2 linked regions of the Styela clava genome follow. The protein of the gene in region 1 purifies or fractionates together with the protein of each later gene. This does not show direct contact. Links are inferred from orthologs where the notes say so. Each region holds a gene or a part of one and is shown in the gene's direction. Other genes may lie near its edges.

The links.
Region 2: the proteins of histone acetyltransferase KAT8-like (region 1) and MSL complex subunit 3-like purify together in Homo sapiens (affinity purification with mass spectrometry; 4 studies listed by BioGRID and IntAct, with this or other methods). This does not show direct contact. The link is inferred for Styela clava from reciprocal best matches to the Homo sapiens genes KAT8 and MSL3.

What each region holds. Positions count from the first base shown.
Region 1 is NC_135255.1:8,354,493-8,364,065, reverse strand, and holds the start of histone acetyltransferase KAT8-like, read left to right. Parts: upstream 1-5,499; 5' UTR 5,500-5,638; intron 5,639-7,049; 5' UTR 7,050-7,087; coding exon 7,088-8,178; intron 8,179-8,738; coding exon 8,739-9,000; 3' UTR 9,001-9,573. Other genes in the region: protein cereblon-like, read right to left, coding at 547-1,035; uncharacterized protein LOC120331723, read right to left, coding at 2,013-3,560.
Region 2 is NC_135263.1:16,398,988-16,408,869, reverse strand, and holds the start of MSL complex subunit 3-like, read left to right. Parts: upstream 1-6,039; 5' UTR 6,040-6,260; coding exon 6,261-6,344; intron 6,345-6,677; coding exon 6,678-6,746; intron 6,747-6,934; coding exon 6,935-7,044; intron 7,045-7,976; coding exon 7,977-8,056; intron 8,057-8,410; coding exon 8,411-8,505; intron 8,506-8,871; coding exon 8,872-9,063; intron 9,064-9,480; coding exon 9,481-9,641; intron 9,642-9,882. Other genes in the region: uncharacterized protein LOC120341242, read right to left, coding at 1,135-1,308, 2,513-2,612, 2,997-3,040. UniProt on the Homo sapiens protein: Non-catalytic component of the MSL histone acetyltransferase complex, a multiprotein complex that mediates the majority of histone H4 acetylation at 'Lys-16' (H4K16ac), an epigenetic mark that prevents chromatin compaction.

The sequences.
Region 1 (9,573 bases):
ATGCTCGTAATATAATTAGATATACGGTAAACCAAAAGAGAGAATCCGAACGTTAATTTTAATTGATTGCACTGAAAAAAAGGTCGGTTGGGCGATAAAAGGAAAACACAATCGGAAAACATTTAAACCTCGGAAAATTTCATTATTTTTCTAACTTCAGACAGAAAAATGATTTAGTTACAATAAATATATATAACAGTGAGTCAGTTATTCAATATCAAATAAAGATAAATAATAAAGGCAGTATTTTGTACCATATAAAATAAGTTTATATGATCATGAAATTTTATTGTTTTAAAATGAAAATGATATTTTAACACTTTCCTTTCGACTAAAATTCTTCAAGAAGTATATCAATTTCATATGCAAGGTGTCTTGCCTAGTTATTCGATTTTTGAAGAGGCTGAAAATTTTTTTAAATGGCAAGAAATACTATACTACTATATTGTAGCACTATATCATTTCAAACTTCATGTTTGAAATAGACACCATCCTGCCATCTGTATTGCCCGACATAATTTTATCAGATGACCTAAGAACTTATTATCATCTTGCATTCGGATGCTGAATAATGACCAGAGAATCAGAATCAATATCTTGAATAATATGATCCATAATAAGTCCGTAAAATTTATCATTTTCTGTGAATGTCATGTGATTAAAATTCACTGGTTGATATTTCCAACCTAAGAAAAAATTACATCTTGAACAAGCAGAAATTCTCCATGAATATCCAGGAAACCAAGTCGCTTCTGTATGTGCGTCTTCATTTGATGTTACAGAGGCTTCAGAAAAAGTTACAACTTCAAATTGAGCACCTTGTGGATTTTCAAATTTTTGTGTAGTTATATGTGGCTTTCCTAAAATTGTTTTGTTCCACCTTTGAAGTGCAAGTTTACTTGGAATGGAAACAAGATCTTCAGCTTGAGCCACAGTTTCACCACATCGTTTGCATATGAACTTGCCAGTTTGGGTACGATGACTTAAGCCAAGTGAAGTCACATACATAATTACAACAAAATAAAAGTTCCACATATTCACAATACAGTGTATCTAGTGTTTCCACTACGACTTAATGCCACAACAGTAAGTTTTACCTGAAATCATACAAAGAATATAGGAAATCTACTAAGTATTTGCAATGTAATTGGCTACGACCAAAATACAATAATTTAATTCATTCATTTGTATGTAAGTTAGACCTTCTGTTATTTATGATTGAGTAAAAAAGCCTCAATAGTATTGCGAAAAGGGACAGGACTGCGAAGAGATTATAGCTTAATCATAAAGACCATTGTGCAAAAAAGTTGCTCTGATGTGGGGAAAATAAAATATAATTTTCTTAACCAAATAATTTGATTTAAATCAGAAATTTTTCCTAGAATTGATCCAAGTGGTTTTCTTCTGGAGCTCCAGCTACATATTTCATTTTGGATAGGCAATGTCAAAGGTCACGTCCCAAACAAATTGGTTCTATATGATAAGGAATACAGGAATAGTTATGTCGGCACATCCCACAGCAGCATTAAATCACCCACCAAAGTTACTTTAGCCTACAATATCATGGCGATCAGAGGTTTAAACATGCATATATTTATGGCAGTTTCAACAAGCATACCTAATGAAATTAGTTATGGGGCTAATAACATGATCTTTAACATCAAAACCAATCTCCACAATCAAATGTGCCACGGTAAACTACACTAAGAACTTGGGTAACCAGAATTGTGGGGTAGCTTAATACAAATTGTAAAAAATTAAAATTGACTGCTTGAGATAAATTTATCAACATGCAAAAGAATTATAGTCAACATTTTAGAAAGCCAAGTGATATATATATTTAATATAGCCAAGTCATATGAGGAATAAGCTCAATATTTAGTGTTCCCATCCTAAGTTAATACAGTGTGGGGACTGGGGAATGTTTCAATTTCATCTGCATTTCTGCATGATTATACTGTTTTCATCTGTGATCACTAAAATGTTTTTCAGATATGAAACAGCAAAACTTTTTAACATTGCAACAGGAAATCTTCCAATTTTCTTGGTAAATTTAAGCAGGTAATATGTTTGGAACAAATGAGGCCTTTGACTTTAATTATATAGCAGCGTATCACCCATCTGGTTAAATCAACCAAGGATGGAACATTTTGAACTAGAATTCCATGCAGAAGATCATCAACATTTGCAACCACCAATGGCAATGAACTATTATGTGAAATCGATAAAAATGGAAAATATCTCAAACAAAGTGATATTTTGGATAGATTTCTCAGATAATGCGGATACCGACTATTTAGGATTAAGCGATCTTGTAAAACTTTATGTCCGCTGATTGAATATGATAAGTTAGGAAATGTTTCACAGTTGAATCGTAATTCCAGTAGTCCTGCATTCAAAAACTCATTTAGGACCACAATATTAACGTCATTAAATCTCATGGGCAAAATAAAATATTTAAAATACAAATGTTCTTCCCTTCTCGCAAGATCCGAAAATAAAGTATCATTTTCAATAAGTATTTTAACAGTACTTGAGAAACTTTCAAAACCATTGTTGTGGCCTAATAAAATATCCCATACGCTTTCACCTGCAATTTTAATATCCGAATGGAAAGTTGAATATCCTTTTCTGAATAAATATAATAAACAATCATTGTGCCTATTAAAAGCACTCAAAATAACTGCAGAAATACAACAATCTTTCGGAGTAATTTTTGCAAGCAATTTAACAACGGGAAAATGTCCTTTTTCAGCTGCTACTGTTAATGGAAAACTTTTTAAGCCCATATGATCAATATACATGCACTTTAATGGATCAGCACCTTTGTTTAACAGCAACCGTACTATATTTTCATTTCCATTTTGCGCAGCTAAATATAAGGGCGTACAATCTGTGATATCAGTTGCATTCACATCCTTAACTTCATTGATCAAAAGTTTCACAATCTCTTCATTTTCAATAGAAACTGCCACATGTAATGGTGTCTTCAAGTCATCTGAATCTTGCACATTTACATCAGCCCCATTTTGTATTAAAAATTTTGTTGCTTGAATATTTTCTTTTTCAACAATTACATGTATTGGATAATCACCACTTCGGGAATCCTTCATGTTAACATGCATTGGGAATTCATCAACTAGAATTTCAATACATTTATTATGCCCATTTTTGCAGGATTCATGGAGAGGATATCCCATTTTGTCAATTCCCAATTCCGATTCTTTGTACAAGCTCATGAGATGTTTAACAACTTCAACATGGCCTTCACTAGAAGCAATAGATAACGGTGTTTCTCCATCAAAAGCAGGTGGGAATACACAATCCAAAATCTCTCTGGTAGATTCGCAATCTGACATTGCCGTTTCCAAAAGTATTTTAACACACTCGATATGACCGCCAAATGCTGCTTCATGCATAGGATACCATCCCCTGTTATCTTTGATCGTGTAATCCAACCCCTTCATCAAAAGTTCATGCAAAACTTGAGAGTTTCCTGCCCTGGATGCTGCTCCAATGCTTGAACAGGCATCTGGGTATGCAGATGCAAACACATCCATATGACTTTATAAAATGATTGCTGCAAAGGTATATGGAACCCTGAATATACATATATGTTGCAGATTTAATCATGTGGTGGTGAAGCCTAAGTGTAAATGAAACTTCTTCATAGTTGATCAAAAAATAATGGAAGGCTGAAATTTAAGAAAACAAATTGAAATTTTTTGATTTTACTGGTATAGCATAAATTTGATACAAAACAAAATTGCAGTATTTAAATAAAAAAGGATGGATTTTTCAGAATAAATCAATCACAAAATTCATACATGCTGAATCATTTACAGATAGAGTTGGGGTATATGCTTGCAGATTTTAATCCAAAAATTATTTTTTTGATTGTTTGTATGAGTGCCCTGTCACTCAATTTTTGCATATATCAATCCCAACCCCCACCTGACTGCGTTATCCGAAAATTATGTTACTACAACGTCACAGTGACATAATAAAGCCCTTCAGACTATATGAACTGTCATCAAAGACGCGCAGACAATCACCCAAAATCGAGCAAGCTATTTCTCGTCACAGTGCCCGCAGTGATTCCAATATGAGAGAAGTAGTAAGTTCTTTATCGTCGGCACAGATGTCATTTCAGGCGATCATATGTATACTTTGGCAAGCTCTATGACATGATTGTGATGGCGTAGTGATGTGATTTTTGGATGGCGAAGTCAGGAAGTCAAAAATCGTTATGCTACGCCCACTAGAAGTACTTGAGGTAGGAAAATACCTGAGACCCTGTTCATTGTTTTGTTCGAGAATATGTGAGACGATACGTCTACATACTGACATAATGCAGTAATGTGTAATGCTGCAATGTGTAAGTTAATGATCTCCTATTCTTATAAAACTGTAATATTACTCTCTTTTCAGCTTTTATAATCTCAGAATCTCTTACTGTTGTACTGTCTTATAAAATTTATGCTTACTGGCAAACTGGATTAGGTAGCCTACCACAATTGTTCAGGTTGGATGAGGTTTGTTTTCTTTCTTCTTCGAACTGTCAAGTCAATGCTCAAGGCTAGTAAATGTGTTTAAAAACTCATTTTAGCTTTTGCTCAGTTCAAACAGTCAAAAATTCTTCGCTTTTATCCAGTTATCTTATTCGTGTAATGTTTTATCTTTGTGAACAAATCCATGGATAGATTCGGTAGATAGTTTATTCGAACACTCCATACTGCCATAATACTATAATATACACAAATTTAAAGTGGAGAATTCTGGAAATTATTTTGATTAAATAACTACCTAGTAACTATATACTATACTGCTATAACTGGTACTGAACTACAGAATTACGGTACCGTACTCAACTCTTTGCGTATTCTTGTCAAGATAATTAAGGTACCGGTAACAGAGGACAAGAGGAAGAACAGAAAGAGTTGTCTGGTTGTAGAGGAAGAACAGCTGCTGTCCACTCCACACTAGTCTAAAATTTGTGATTAGACTACCGGTACTTGATAATAACATTTCCAGATTTCTGTGAGAGTTCCCCTCCTACATTCGTACCGGTACTGAATGGCTCACGCTTTTAAACTGAATGTGCAATAGTGCAAAACGCGATATTGCAAATAGTGCAAAACGATACACTTGTGCTGTACACAGATATACCGGTACCGTATGTAATATTACCGATAATTTAGTAAAAAAAATACCTTGCTCACTAAATGAAATATGGTTGTTTTCTCAACCTTTGACCCTATAAAAATATTTCCTAGACGTCACAATTAATGTTCCCCCGAGAGTGAGAGAGAGAAAGAGCTATTTTTTTTTTTGTTTATTTCTAGAAAAAGGTGCAATCAGTAATAAAGCAACGATGGCTTATTAATAAAAATCTGTACAGTTGCACTGATATTTCTTTCGCTCCAGATTTGTCAATTTATTTTGTGTTTCAATGAACATTTTTTACGTGTATGAACCATCTGCAATTTCGTCAACAAAGTCCAGAAATCAAAGAACGGGTAATTAGTCTTGGCGGGCAAATGTGTCGTTGGCTTAGTTAGCTTATTCTCAGGAGTGGAACTTGGCAGACATTTGGATATTTTCGATATATTCCGTGGAACTTCCTACTTCCCGTATGGTAAGGTTTTTTCATATGTTTTATATATGTCTAACGGAATTAATGTGTTCGTTAATTCGACGAAAAAAATTATTCCTCGCATAAATTTTTGTAGGCTTTATCTCCCGAACTCAGTTACAGTGACGATTTCGTCGATAAAATGAGGGGAAATTTTCTACTTTTAATCAGTGAGTTTTTAAAATTTTAATATTTGTTTCATACGGTATGTGTCTACCAAAAAATACTGTTTATGAATTTGACAGTTAGATGAGAAAAACATATTTCTTGCATTTTGTCCATATTTTTGATAAGTTGGGGGGAAATTCCCTACTTTCGGCACGCTGAATTTTTTTTAAATTTGAATATGTGTTTTATATATGTCTATCAGAGTTACAGTGTTTATAAATTTGATCAGAAAATATTTATCATGTCTTAAACCAGTTTAATAAACTATTTTATTGATATTTTCGATATATTGGAGAAAATTTTTGATTTCCAAACATTAATTCGCTTGACCGGGTGAAAAATGTTTTAATCATACTCTTTTATTATATTTCTCGTCTTTCTTTGTTTTGAAAAAGTGGGATCGCCTCGTTAATCGCAATCATCGTGTAGATCAGCGTTGTCCAACCTTTTGGGCTAAAGGGCCACATTTGGTTTACGAATGATTGGGCGGGCCACTTGCAATGGCAGTTATGTTCTAGTTTGCACCACGCCGACTACGGATCAATGAAAAAACAAACAAAACCCCCAAACTAAACTTATAAGAACAATGAAAATACAAAGATACAGTAAAATCAAAAGTTTTTACCACACATAGATATTTCAATATGAAGTATGGCACTGCTTTTATCTAATATGTTTGTCAATATTCGTTGCGACGGGCGATGTAGCAATGCAGAGAGAATTTTTCTGAATGACTGTCGGAATTTAGTGATCTCACGGATGATATGACATGGTTCATCCGTGAAAAAACTTGCTCGTATAAGTAAGTGCTGTCTAATATTGAGATCATAAAAAACTGCCTCTTCTAGCTTCACAGAAAAAAAACAGATTGAAATATATGACAAACAATAAAAATAAATTCAAACATCTCTCTCCAGCAATAACGCCCACAAAGTGACATAAAAAGGGACGATAGGTGTGTGGTGTTTCTCACGCATTAGAACGACAAGGAATACTTTTGTTATTAGACTTTCAATAATGGCTCAGATTTGTGAAAGACGATGGGATTCAAATATTACCGCGTGGACCACGGGTTGGACGACCCTGGTGTAGATAATCTGTCACAAAACAATTAAATATATTTAAATCTAAAAGTTTTAGGAATGATTGAATTGAAAAATTCATATGTGGGTGGTTTCTCCCTTCTTTCAAACAATTCTTTAATCCTATATATACAGCTATAATTTAATTGCATTCTGTTTTACAGCCTTCAAAAAAAATTTGATTACTAAATAGGTAATAAGTATGAGTGATAATCCTCCACCAACTTCTGTAGAAAACAGTTCTGTGACAGATATAAAATGTGAAGATGCTTCTACTCCATCAATAAATACAAATCCATTAAAAAAACTTCCTGTCAAAGATGACAAAATTAAACTAAATCAGCATTATTATTGCATGCGAAGTGATGATACATGGCACAATGCAGAAGTTCTTCAAACAAGAGTGAATGCATTACATGACGATAGACATGAATATTATGTGCATTATCACGGCTTGAACAGAAGACTAGATGAGTGGGTTGAGTCTTCTCGTATTGATACTGCGAGAGTCGTTCCTGAGAGTGATATTGAAGCTGTAAAAGATGGTGATGCAAAAGATGGGGCTGATAATCGTATGACAAGAAATCAAAAGCGGAAACATGATGAGATTAATCATGTTCAAAAATCCTATGCAGAAATGGATCCGACGACTGCAGCATTAGAGAGGGAGCACGAAGCTATCACCAAAGTGAAGTATATTGACCGAATTCATATGGGGAAATATGAAATTGAAGCGTGGTACTTCTCACCTTATCCTGACGAATATGGAAAGCAACCCAAATTATACATATGTGAATATTGCTTGAAATATATGAAATTTGAAATAACCTACAGACGGCATTTAGGAGAATGTGAATGGCGACAACCTCCCGGCAAAGAAATTTATCGTCGAGGGAATATTTCGGTTTATGAAGCTGATGGAAAAGAACATAAAATATACTGTCAGAATTTATGTTTGCTAGCAAAGTTATTTCTTGATCATAAAACTCTTTACTTTGATGTGGAACCATTTCTTTTCTATATCCTTACAGAGGTTGACCAGTATGGTGCACACGTTGTTGGGTATTTTTCAAAAGAGAAAGAATCTCCTGATGGAAATAATCTTGCTTGCATTTTAATATTGCCACCATTCCAGCGAAAGGGTTATGGAAAATTCTTGATAGCCTTCAGTTACGAATTATCAAAAGCAGAACATCTTATCGGATCTCCAGAAAAGCCGTTATCAGACTTGGGAAAGCTGAGCTACAGGAGTTACTGGTCTTGGGTTTTATTGGAGATTCTGAGAGATTTTAGGTAAGAATGCTGATGCCAGTTGCGAATTGTGTCCTCGTTTCGAATATTATTTTTTTTGTAAAACAAAATTATGATATAGTATGGTTTCTCGCAAAACAGCTTTCAACCCATTAGCTGGATTGTGACATGATACTGTGGGTGTTTAGACAGCCAACAATTGAATTTAGAGTTGCCTCAAAACTGCTTTGAATATGAATCGATATGAAATAAGTGAAAAATCATTGTTGGAGTCTGTGCGATTCAGACACATATAAAAGGATGGAGCCCTATTACAAAGTCATTTAAAAATTATTATGTTTCACAACTATTCCACCCTGTTTTTATGTCACTGTTGCATTTTGTTTTATGTACTTTTTTGTCCTGTATTGGTCGAGTTTGTTAGAAAATTGTTGTAAATATACTTTTATGAGGAATGGCTAGCTAGTTAGTTGTCTATTTATTGAACTGGAGGACAATGGTCTATCATTTATTTGAGTCATCTTATATCAGTTTTTCACCTTTTAAATTCTGCCGACAATTATTTATATTTAGAATGATCATTATGTTATTCATGTTTACAGGGGAACTCTATCAATCAAGGATCTGAGTGAAATGACAAGTATCACACAAGCGGATATCATTTCTGCATTGCAGTCTCTCAACATGGTAAAATATTGGAAAGGACAACATGTTGTCTGTGTCACACCAAAACACATTGAGGAACATATGAAATCACAGCTGATCAAAAGGCCACGAATTCCTGTGGACAAAACATTCATGAGATGGCAGCCTCCAAAGAGAAAGCCAGGTGTGAAAAAGGAAGGTATCCACCACAAAAAATGAAGACTGTCAACTGTTGACAAAACTATATGAACTAATTACAGAATACATGTGAGGCATTCTGACTGAATCTTTTCATATTGCCAATCGCCATTATTTTATTAAACTGCTTTTCACTGTCTTTGTTGTACTCAAATATCTTGTTGAAGATGTTAACACAGGAAGTCTGTTTATTCTGGACTCCGGGGCTCGACACCATGAACTGAAATAAAACACAAGAAACTTTCAATCTATTACTCATCCAACAGGGCAGGAATAATTTCACACAGAGGATACACCTACCGAAGGGGGGTCTGCTTATTTTTGGGCTCCATATAAAACCATAACTATAGCATTGATAGCAGTATAAACTGAAACAAAGCACAAGAATTTTGTTGTATTTTTCATCCATGAAACTTGGATATTACTATATGCAGAGGTCACCTACTTGCATGATAGTCAGGGGATAGATTCTCCAGAGAGATATTAATTGGGTGTAGCTGGCGAGGTGTGAAAAATGATCCTGCAGACATCAGACCAGGTGAAATTCTGTTGTGGGTAAATAGTATTCTTAATTCCCCAAGCAGGCGCTATTTG
Region 2 (9,882 bases), on another chromosome or scaffold:
TTGCCAATTCACAATATCATATTCCCTGATCAAGGTCGATAAGTACGTAATGACTGTGACAGCTTGCTTAAATTCAGAAAGTACCATTGACAGTAAAAGCAGGTGTTAACTCTAACAATTATTCAATAGGCATGTAACACAAATGCCACATAAAACAAAACCACTGTCACCATAAGTAACACAAGGAAATTATGATTAATTCACTGATTTATTTTAATTAATCACCATATGCCAAGGTCAACGTTTTCAAATGATTGAACAAATATATTACAGACATATTTAAACAACCAAAATAAATCAAACGATTCAATAAATTATGTTTTACGGGATGAGGTAACAATGCGATAAAGTGTCATTCAAAAAGTATTTACAGATTACCAAGCTTCTTGAATTTATGACGGACAAACCAAGCATGACACGCACATTTGTTTGTCTATGTAAAAGTTTAAGATTATTAGCTGAGTTGGCAGAACAAACATCTCAAGTTTTATGACATGTTTACTGTTTTCTTGAAATACATGTTTGACATCTGATGCTGCAAATTCAAACATGACTAAGCTTCTATGTTTCCACAAACATCAGATGCTGGTAATTGATTTTTCAATGCGTTGCTATGTTACGAATAAACTGATATTGTAGCTTATCAAGGCCATACTAAATAAATTTAAATCGAGTTCAAAGCATAGCGCTGAATGATTATATCATACCCTCTGCACCTACTGAAATATTCATAATATAAGTATTGAATTTAAGATGGTCCTTGATACAGGTATTTCCATGTATCCAAACTTGATAAATGTTGAAAGTCCATATTACAAGAGTTACATTTTTGTCTCAATCTGTAAACAGTTTTGACGCAGACTTCTGATTTGAAGTCTGGGGTTTGGTACTACCATTTCGTTTGGGAGTTGTAAATTCACTTCCCATTTATTAAAAGCTGGAAGCCAGACTCAGAGTATTCAAATGGAATGAAAAAAACGCCAGCGAACAGCGAGATTTCCTATCCAATATTTTTTTTAAATCGAGAGTAGGAGCAAATGTTTTTTAACATGATGTCAGTGTCAAAAAGCTTTGGGCGCGATGGAGTACTTCAAAACGTTCGACGAAATAAATGAAAAGTAAATAATTTGTAACCTCAAAAGTTGTTCTTTTTCTCATTGTTCTCCGCATATTATGTTTCACGTCTTTCTCCCGTTTTGTACCAGGTGGCATTGCTTCCAAATTTGCAATCTGAGTTCGAATCATTTGTGGAGTGAAATAATGTTTTAAGCTTCTGTCTTGTAGTTTCGCATAATTCACCGTTGAATGCTACAAAGAAAAAAAGAAAAAAAAATGAAGACCAAATAAGCATATTAAATGCATGGTCTGGGCAGTGTATACCAAGTTTGAATTAAATCACAGTTCCGAATTTTAACTCACAAATCCACATTCAACGAATGACACAGACTATATTACAAAGGAGGTCAAGATTATGATGCTTCAAAACAAATTCCCTTATATTATGTCATGGTATATAAATAATTGAATAATGTGACTGTGTGAGTGATCATAATTTTCTCAGAGTAGAATGAATTATGACAAAGAATAATTAATTGCAAAGTAGTTATCAGCTTTCGGAAAATCATATCCAATTTTCAATATATCTAAAATCAGATTAACAAAAGCTATTGCAATGTAATTACTGATATTGACGGGTAGGAGAAATATTATTTCATATAACACCAATCAAGTATGAATCATAGGTTATACACACTAAATAAAGGTTTAACACCATATACCATACTTGATCAATAACATGTTATTAGCAATCCATATATTTGATATTAAATGAATAAATGGTTTCTAGGAGCAACAGACCCTAGTAAGCTTAAAAATATAAGAAAATCATTCTGGTGTTTACAGTGCTATGCACATATTGACATTCAACAAACCAATCCTTCCGAATAACGAGAAAACAGAACGTTGCTTTGTGATAAACTGATTATAATTATGACACTTTAAGTGGTCAGATGAAACTCAAACATGACTTTTCAGATCGTTGTTGAAAATATTTTTCCGAAAAGGATGCCATATTGACATCTAGCATGACTATAACATAAAAGAACTTTGCTTGTTGTAAACCATGTTGAAAAATTTGATTTATTTTGAAATTATACACCAATCTGATATGGACTGACAACCAGATATTGCAAAGTGCTTGTTCTGATTAGATTAATAATTGGAAATCCTAATCCAAACTTGAATTATTAAAAAAATGTGGTGAATTTGATATATATTGTTTAGTAAGATTGATATAAAGATAATTTCAGTAATAATAATGATGGTTGAGGCAGTAAGTCATATAAAACAAAAATATTTATAACACAAGCAATTTTACTCCATATTTTACAGTAAGCAAATACTTTATCGGTGGCTATTTAAATACAGACTTTTTAAAAACAAAGATACGGAACACTGAAGAAATATATAATAAATTTGCATTACAAAATATAAACCAAAGTAGAAACTTTACCGTTTTATGTCCACCATTGTAAGATCCTCCTGACACTGGAGAATTTGGTGATGATAGATCGAAACCATCTTCTCTTCTTTTCACATTCATGTAATGTTTTCTGAATAATTAAAAAATAAAATAATATAACGCAAAAAAAGACAATTGTAACATTAGAATCCAGGTAATCATAAAAACATTATTATATTATTGAAATTATGCTGCTTAATATCAAAGGTTGTAGAAGAATATTATTCCATCATAATGATAATTTGAGATATATAAGGATGCTGGGTAAATCGTTTTAAAATTTAAAAATGAATTGTAAAAATCAATATTAAAATATGAATTCAAATATGAATATTAATAATATATATGGAGTATTTGTAAACATAAAAAACCTAAAAACACTTTATTGAAATGACAATACGTATATTTTGAGTCTGATTCATTTTAATACTAAACAACTTTTCGATCTAAATAAATTTGAATTTATGTTACTTACAGTTTGTAAGCAACTGCTTCCTGCAAACTTGATGAAGTTGTCATTCTGTCGGTCAGTGATAATGATGAGAGATGAGTGAATTACGAAGACAAAGTAGTATGCTATGTCATAGTAAATGTAGATTGCACTTCTAACTGGAACATGTGCAATATCCTAAAACATATATAATAAGAAATTGATATGTTTTATGCTATGAACTATTTTAATTTTGACAAAGCAATTAAAAAACTATGAAAATTCTTCAACGTGGATCAGCAAGAATCTGATGTTTTATATCATTATTATCATTTTTAAAATATCGCTTCAATTTCATATAAACATATCAATAATGCCAAGATAGAGAACAAAATAAATGCAATTAGTTTGCAATATATATATATTTATTTTTTTTATATAATATTGATTTACTGGTGCATAGCAATAGCCGAACTATCCAAATGTTTATCATTTTTTGCATAATTTTCAAATCAATAAATCAGGTTTACCATAAAATGACAGTAAATATAGATGTTACATAATCTCTCAAATGTACGCTAGTGAGTGTATCCCAACACAACTGTGAAATATAAAATTCTGAAACCATGTATTTTTTATATAGCATTTTATATGTTTTTCATTCCAAAGAAGGCTCCGGAGGCAAAATGTTTCCAGTTTTGCACTACCTACTTAGTTTATTAAATGCTGGGTGAGATTGTAGGCATGGCCATTCAAACCAAGATTTCAACATGAGATGCCAACATTGTTAGGACCTACGCTTCAACCATTAGGCCACCGCACCCATAACATATTATTACTAGAATTAAAGTCAGTAATCATAGCAAACCATTTTGGATCTTAGGTAAAAGCAACTAGAAAGTTATGCATTTATTCAATTATTTGGTACAATTTTCGAGTTCAAAAGGTACAAAATTTTGCTTGCACAATTTTCGATATCACTCAAAATTAAGAATTTGTCAATTTAGTCCGCATAAGGTGGAAGCTGTAAAACAGTATACAAATTTACATAGAATTTTTGTATCTTGCTCAATAGTTGATAAATGATATAGATGCCAAACCTTCAACAAATTTTGTACAATAATTGTAGATGAAAGTTCGGCTGTATGTAGGTCAATGCGAGTTTTTAGAATAATAAAAAGTTAAAGAAATGTTGAATATGGGAATTTTGTTTTGAAATGTATATTACGAAAAAACTTTGCCCAGAAGCTTGGCGATTGACACATCGTGCTATGCTTTGGGATTTACTCTTGAGTTGATTCATAAGTTCGAATCACACGAGGATAAGTATATACATTAGAATTGCTGTCAAGCATCCCGATGCTTTGCAGTTGAAAGGTGATTAACATCGACGCTGGTCAGATATGGCTTTTCTACCTATAAAAATACACAAATCTAGAACAAGTCACAAATTGCTGTGCCCGACTTCGACCGGTAATTACCCGGATAGAAGACTATGTTTTGCTATACGATATATCATCTTGCCAACTAATTATATTACCTCTCCCTCAAAACAAATATAAAAACTATTATAGGGTGGTAAGAAGGTAATAAAATCAAGATGTTTCAGAAGTGGAAAAAAACAATTTTAACATTCAAGTTAATAACTCCGATATCACAGGTTCAAGTCACATGCCCACATCGCCCAAGGGAACGCTACACCAAACACAAATACTCCAATCTGTTGAAACAGTATCTCACTTATATCATATATCACATTGAAGTCACACATTATTAACAGACTAGTTCAAAACAAACATGTGACATGTCATAGAAACAAAGATATATACTAATTACTATTTTTGTATTCAAATTATAGGTAGGCATTTAACTGAGGATAAGATTCATATTGTCCCCGAAGAGGGTTGAGCCAATAAAACGCTTGGCTAACCACTGCTTCTCGGTCAGTTTCCAGTCAGGTTAGACATGATAATAATTCATTTTAAATGGATGGTTTCATGGGGAAAGTCATAATTCTGTAATCGGCCAGTGTTTAAACCCAGGGTGTAATTACTGAATTAATTAGGTGGGCAATGCCGAGCCGAAAAGATTTTAGTCCTTTGAAAATCTGTAGTTCATAATAAATTGTTTGAAACCAGTGGATGCTTGCGTAGGCTCTTGTTCAGCACAATATTCGTGACATGTGAAAATACTTGAATTTACTGTGGAATAAATTAATTCCATGCCCAATTTAAAAAAAAAGAGGATATAACGTAATAGACATTTCTTAATTTTATTTGCATTATCAAAAAGAACAAACAATGCCACAAATTTGCCTTAACAGTGGTTAAAAACACCTTTAAAGCGGCGGGGTGGAGCCGTCCTGCAAATGTTAATTCAATGCTTAACTAAATTCTGTAATTCGACTTTCAGAATTTTGGCTAGAGCTTCCTTTACTGCTAATCATTTTTGCTTGTGAATATATCAATTAATAATAATAACTGAAATCATTTTATCTGCAAATCTGTATTAAGATACATAAACACAATATTGACTACATTCAGACATTACCGGATCCAGTGCAAAAGCCCGAAAGCGCTGATGTGATAGTGAAATCCTAAATCCTATCCTATCCTAAATCGCTAACAATATTGACATATTGAAATCCCATAGCAACATCACGCTTAGTAGGTGACCGGATAATGGAGTCCGGAGCAAGAAAGAAAAATATTTTTTGTCTAAGAACTTCGGAATGTTCGACCCTCAACGCGAACTTCCTTCCGTTTCCAGAGAAAAAAAATTCCCATTCATATATTTTAAAAATCAAAAGAAACTTATTTAAAATTACAACCAACATCAAGTAAATGACATAAAACTCATATATAGCTGACGCTGCAGAAAAACTCCGTACAGCTGCATTCGTTACCGCACAAGTCCATGTGGAGACAACGATAAATTTATCATCAATTTTTGTATTATGCATTTAAAGTTCTCGGGACGTTTGCGGGCCGCAAAAAATTAGTTCGCGGGCCGCAGTTTGCCGACCCCTGATGTACACAAACTACCTTCGCGCAAAATTTCGTTCTCGCAAAACTAAATTCCACAATCGTGTTTGGGGGACATTTGTGCGAACTTCCTGCAGAATTGCAAAGAAAGCGTTTTGTAGTTCTCGTTAGGAAATTGTCTTGTTTCTGACTGACTAGCAAAGTCGGAAAGTGAGAAACTGAGTTCAGGAATTATTTTGAAATTAATTCCTTGTTGTTTGTGCCGTCCACGTATGCAAAACGTTATTAGAGTTGAAGTTCACATTATATATATCGAACAAGCAACATGAAGTTCAAGCATGTCGTAGGAGAAAAAGTTTTATGTTTTGAACCAGATGAAACGAAAGCCCGAGTTTTGTATAATGCCAAGGTATGATCGGTACGGTATTCAGGATTTGTCTAATTTCGTGGGAGACTTAAAGCTGCAAATAGGGAGCAGATAAACAACATCATTTCCATCATGTTATTGTTGGTTTTATTTTCAGTGCAAAAGCTGAGATGTCCATAATCGAACTCATTAAATGTAATTTTTTTGAAGGGATAAAACTGAACTTGAAACATCTGCTTTTTATTTCAATATTATTCAAGTTATTATTGAATTAAATGATCGCGAATTTATTGTGATTGTCTTAATTCGGCCCCTTTATTTCTATTTTGTCAGTCTTCTGACCTCTTATTAATACTGTAATAATCATGCTTTTAGATCATGGATGCTGATGTAATTAAGGACATTAAAGGAAAGAAGTTTGTAGAGTATAAAATACATTTTCAGGTAAAAAGCCTCAATTAGTTTTGATTCAGAAATTGTGCAAACAGTGATTTGCTTATTAAGTACTGCTATACTGATACTACACGGAAAATTCATACTACACCTGTTTTCATGTCTTTCTACTTAGTATGCTACTGGTACAATATGCTATTTGCATGCTGTATACCATAATTCCAAACAATGTGTTGTAGGGTTGGAATCATGCATGGGATCGTTGGGCTGACGAATCATTTGTTCTGAAAGATAATGATCAAAATAGAAAACTTCAGAGAAAGTTGGCCAGAAGAGCAATAAAGAAATTGTAAGTCAACAGTAATGCTAATGATTATTTTAAAATGTTGAACAAGGTTATTATCAAGCTTTATTGAAATTAGATGATTTCATATAGATCAGGGGTGCACAACCTTTTTGCTCTTGGCGGCCACTTTGCATTTATTTGTATTCAATACGGCCGCAACGTGTTTGATGAGCGCGCCGAAGGCCCGCAAATTTTTTTATTTATTTATTTGCTCTTATGATGTCATAACCGCGTATTTGACCCGAGCGAGGTGCGGTCTGCCCGATTATAAAGTATGTAGAACTACTTGGAAGTATAATATTCGCATTTTAAACGAATTTTTCTTTTCAGTGGACCTATTCTTGAGCAGATATACTGCAGCAAGTTGCATAATGGTTGCACGATTTTGAAAAAAATCGAAAGTCGGGGAGGGGCGGTCGCTCCCATTTTCTTGTCCCCAAAAGTATAATAAAATGTCTAACAATCTGGTTCGGTAGTCATTCTTCAGGTACGTCATTCTTGAAAACGTTGCTTCGCACACTTCAACTGCGCATTTCCATGTGTCCAGCAGATTTTCCTCGTCTTCAAACGTCTGCACAAGCTGTTCATCATTCTTTTTGCACCATCATAGCCGCCAAATCCTATATTTTGAACTCTTTTTTTTTGTTCATAGGATTTTGTATGTGGACGGCCGCATTATTTTGTCACGACGGCCGCATGCGGCCTTACGGCCGCAGGTTGTGCATTGTTGATATAGATAGATGATTGATGGCAAACAATGTGGCATAAAATTCACACGATTGATATCCTAAACACTGATTACCGTGGGCTACCACCGTCAGTCCTAAGAACCTGACCAATGTTACAACTGGTCAGCTTTACCCAATGCAAATTTCAATCCACAAGAAATAACTTATATTTATTAAATAAGATATTTCCTATTCAATACACGGCAGGAAACTTCAGAAAGGCAGAAGACGACATCATCTACCTGGAGTTGCTAGTAAGCCAGATGCTGAAATACCAAACAACTCGGGTAATGTTTTTTCATCTTATTTTCATGTTGTGTTAATTTATTAAACTGTCTCGTATCAGTCTTGTCTTGTATTAAAATGCATTTGCCAGCATGTATACGAGCTCTTGACATTTCCACTGCTCACCCTTGACTTCACTCAAAATTATATTTATTCTGAGTGAGTGTATGTGACCTTGCTTTGAGCAAGTTTTCTCAAAAAATCATTCCGATCAGGGAACCGCCACACAGTGTGCGGTTTTTAATTTTGTTGACATAACACAATTTAGTCCATATTTCCACTTTGTGTCCAATATACATCCTGTGCGTGATATTTTAAACAGAGGAGTGATATAACCAACATATTTATTGATACAGATTCAAGCTCTGGAGAAAGTTTTAATTCTGATTTCACAACAAGTACTGGAACAAGAGAAAAATTATCAGAATCTGATGATGATTTTCCTCCTGAGGTAGGGCATATTTCCAATTCTGACAGGAGAATCATATTTTTTCAAACTATGTCATATCTAGTGAATAAATTAGTTTGAATGTAAAGCAGGGTTTAAGATTTCTGATAGGGGAAATTTTGGCTCATAATTTATAGTTTGTCGGGCATTATAAAACTCTTTATTCTCTTTTGTTTAACAGGGTCCCACGAAAATTTATTTTTCAAATGAACTTAGTCCTTTAGATTCAACTATTTGAATGAAAGACAATTCACGAGTTCCCTATTCTCATTCCAATATCATCGTTTGCCATATTTTTCTTTATTTTGTGCTCATACTTGACCATGCTCAATATTTTAAATAACCATTTGTTTGAAATTTATATTTTAGAAAAGACCTCGTTTGAGCAGTACATCAACAATTGGAACTGCTTCCATACATCATCATGATAATATCGTTGAAGAAGATAATCCATCAAATAAAGATGAACATCATTTACGTAGATTAGTCAGTCTTGACATACCACTGTCTCTACAAAGACGACTAGAAGAAGATAATGCTTTGGTGAAGAAAAGAAATATGGTAACTTCAAATAGTCCAACACTCCATTCTTTCCTAAATTTACATTTACTTACATTTATTTTAATTTTGAATGGATAACTTTTGCAACCTTATTTTACTGTAAATTCAAAAGCAAAAGACGAGGATAAATATTTATTTATATTATCTGAATAGGATTTGTCTTTATATACAATTTATTTACGATCTGTTCACGCTAAAACCGTTAGAAGTTGTAATTGCAGTGTCTGGTGTTATTTGTCTATAGACAGTCTTGAAACGTGGAAAAAGTGCCATTTTTGTGACATAAACTTGAAATGAAATTTTTTTACATAATAATAAGTTATATTAAAATTTCAGGCTCATCTTGCCACTTTTAAAATATATAACATATTTGCAAATAAAGAAGATGATTGACATTTTTTTTTTACAATATTTCAGCTGATTAATCTCCCAGCAAGACCCAATGTTATTCAAATATTAGAAAATTATGTGAAAAGATTTGCAATTCATGCTCTAAATGCCGCAGATAGACAAAGAGTAACAACGACTGCCATGGGTCAACCAGTTGGTCCAGAAATCTTACTTCCGCCTGCAAAAAGGTAAGTAGTATGGATCTTCAAATAATATAGTAACTAGAATTTTTCCTCGCAATTAGTTTTCAATTTGAATCAATTTTTTATCAAATTCATCATGTATTCATAAAATTTAAGAAGCGGAATCCTGCCAGTTTTACTGGAAAGCTCGGAGTGACTTCATTTTTGATAATCGTCAATTTTGAATCATTTTACACTAAGATTATTTCAACATCCTCAGCTAGTATCAGATTCATTAAAATTGTAT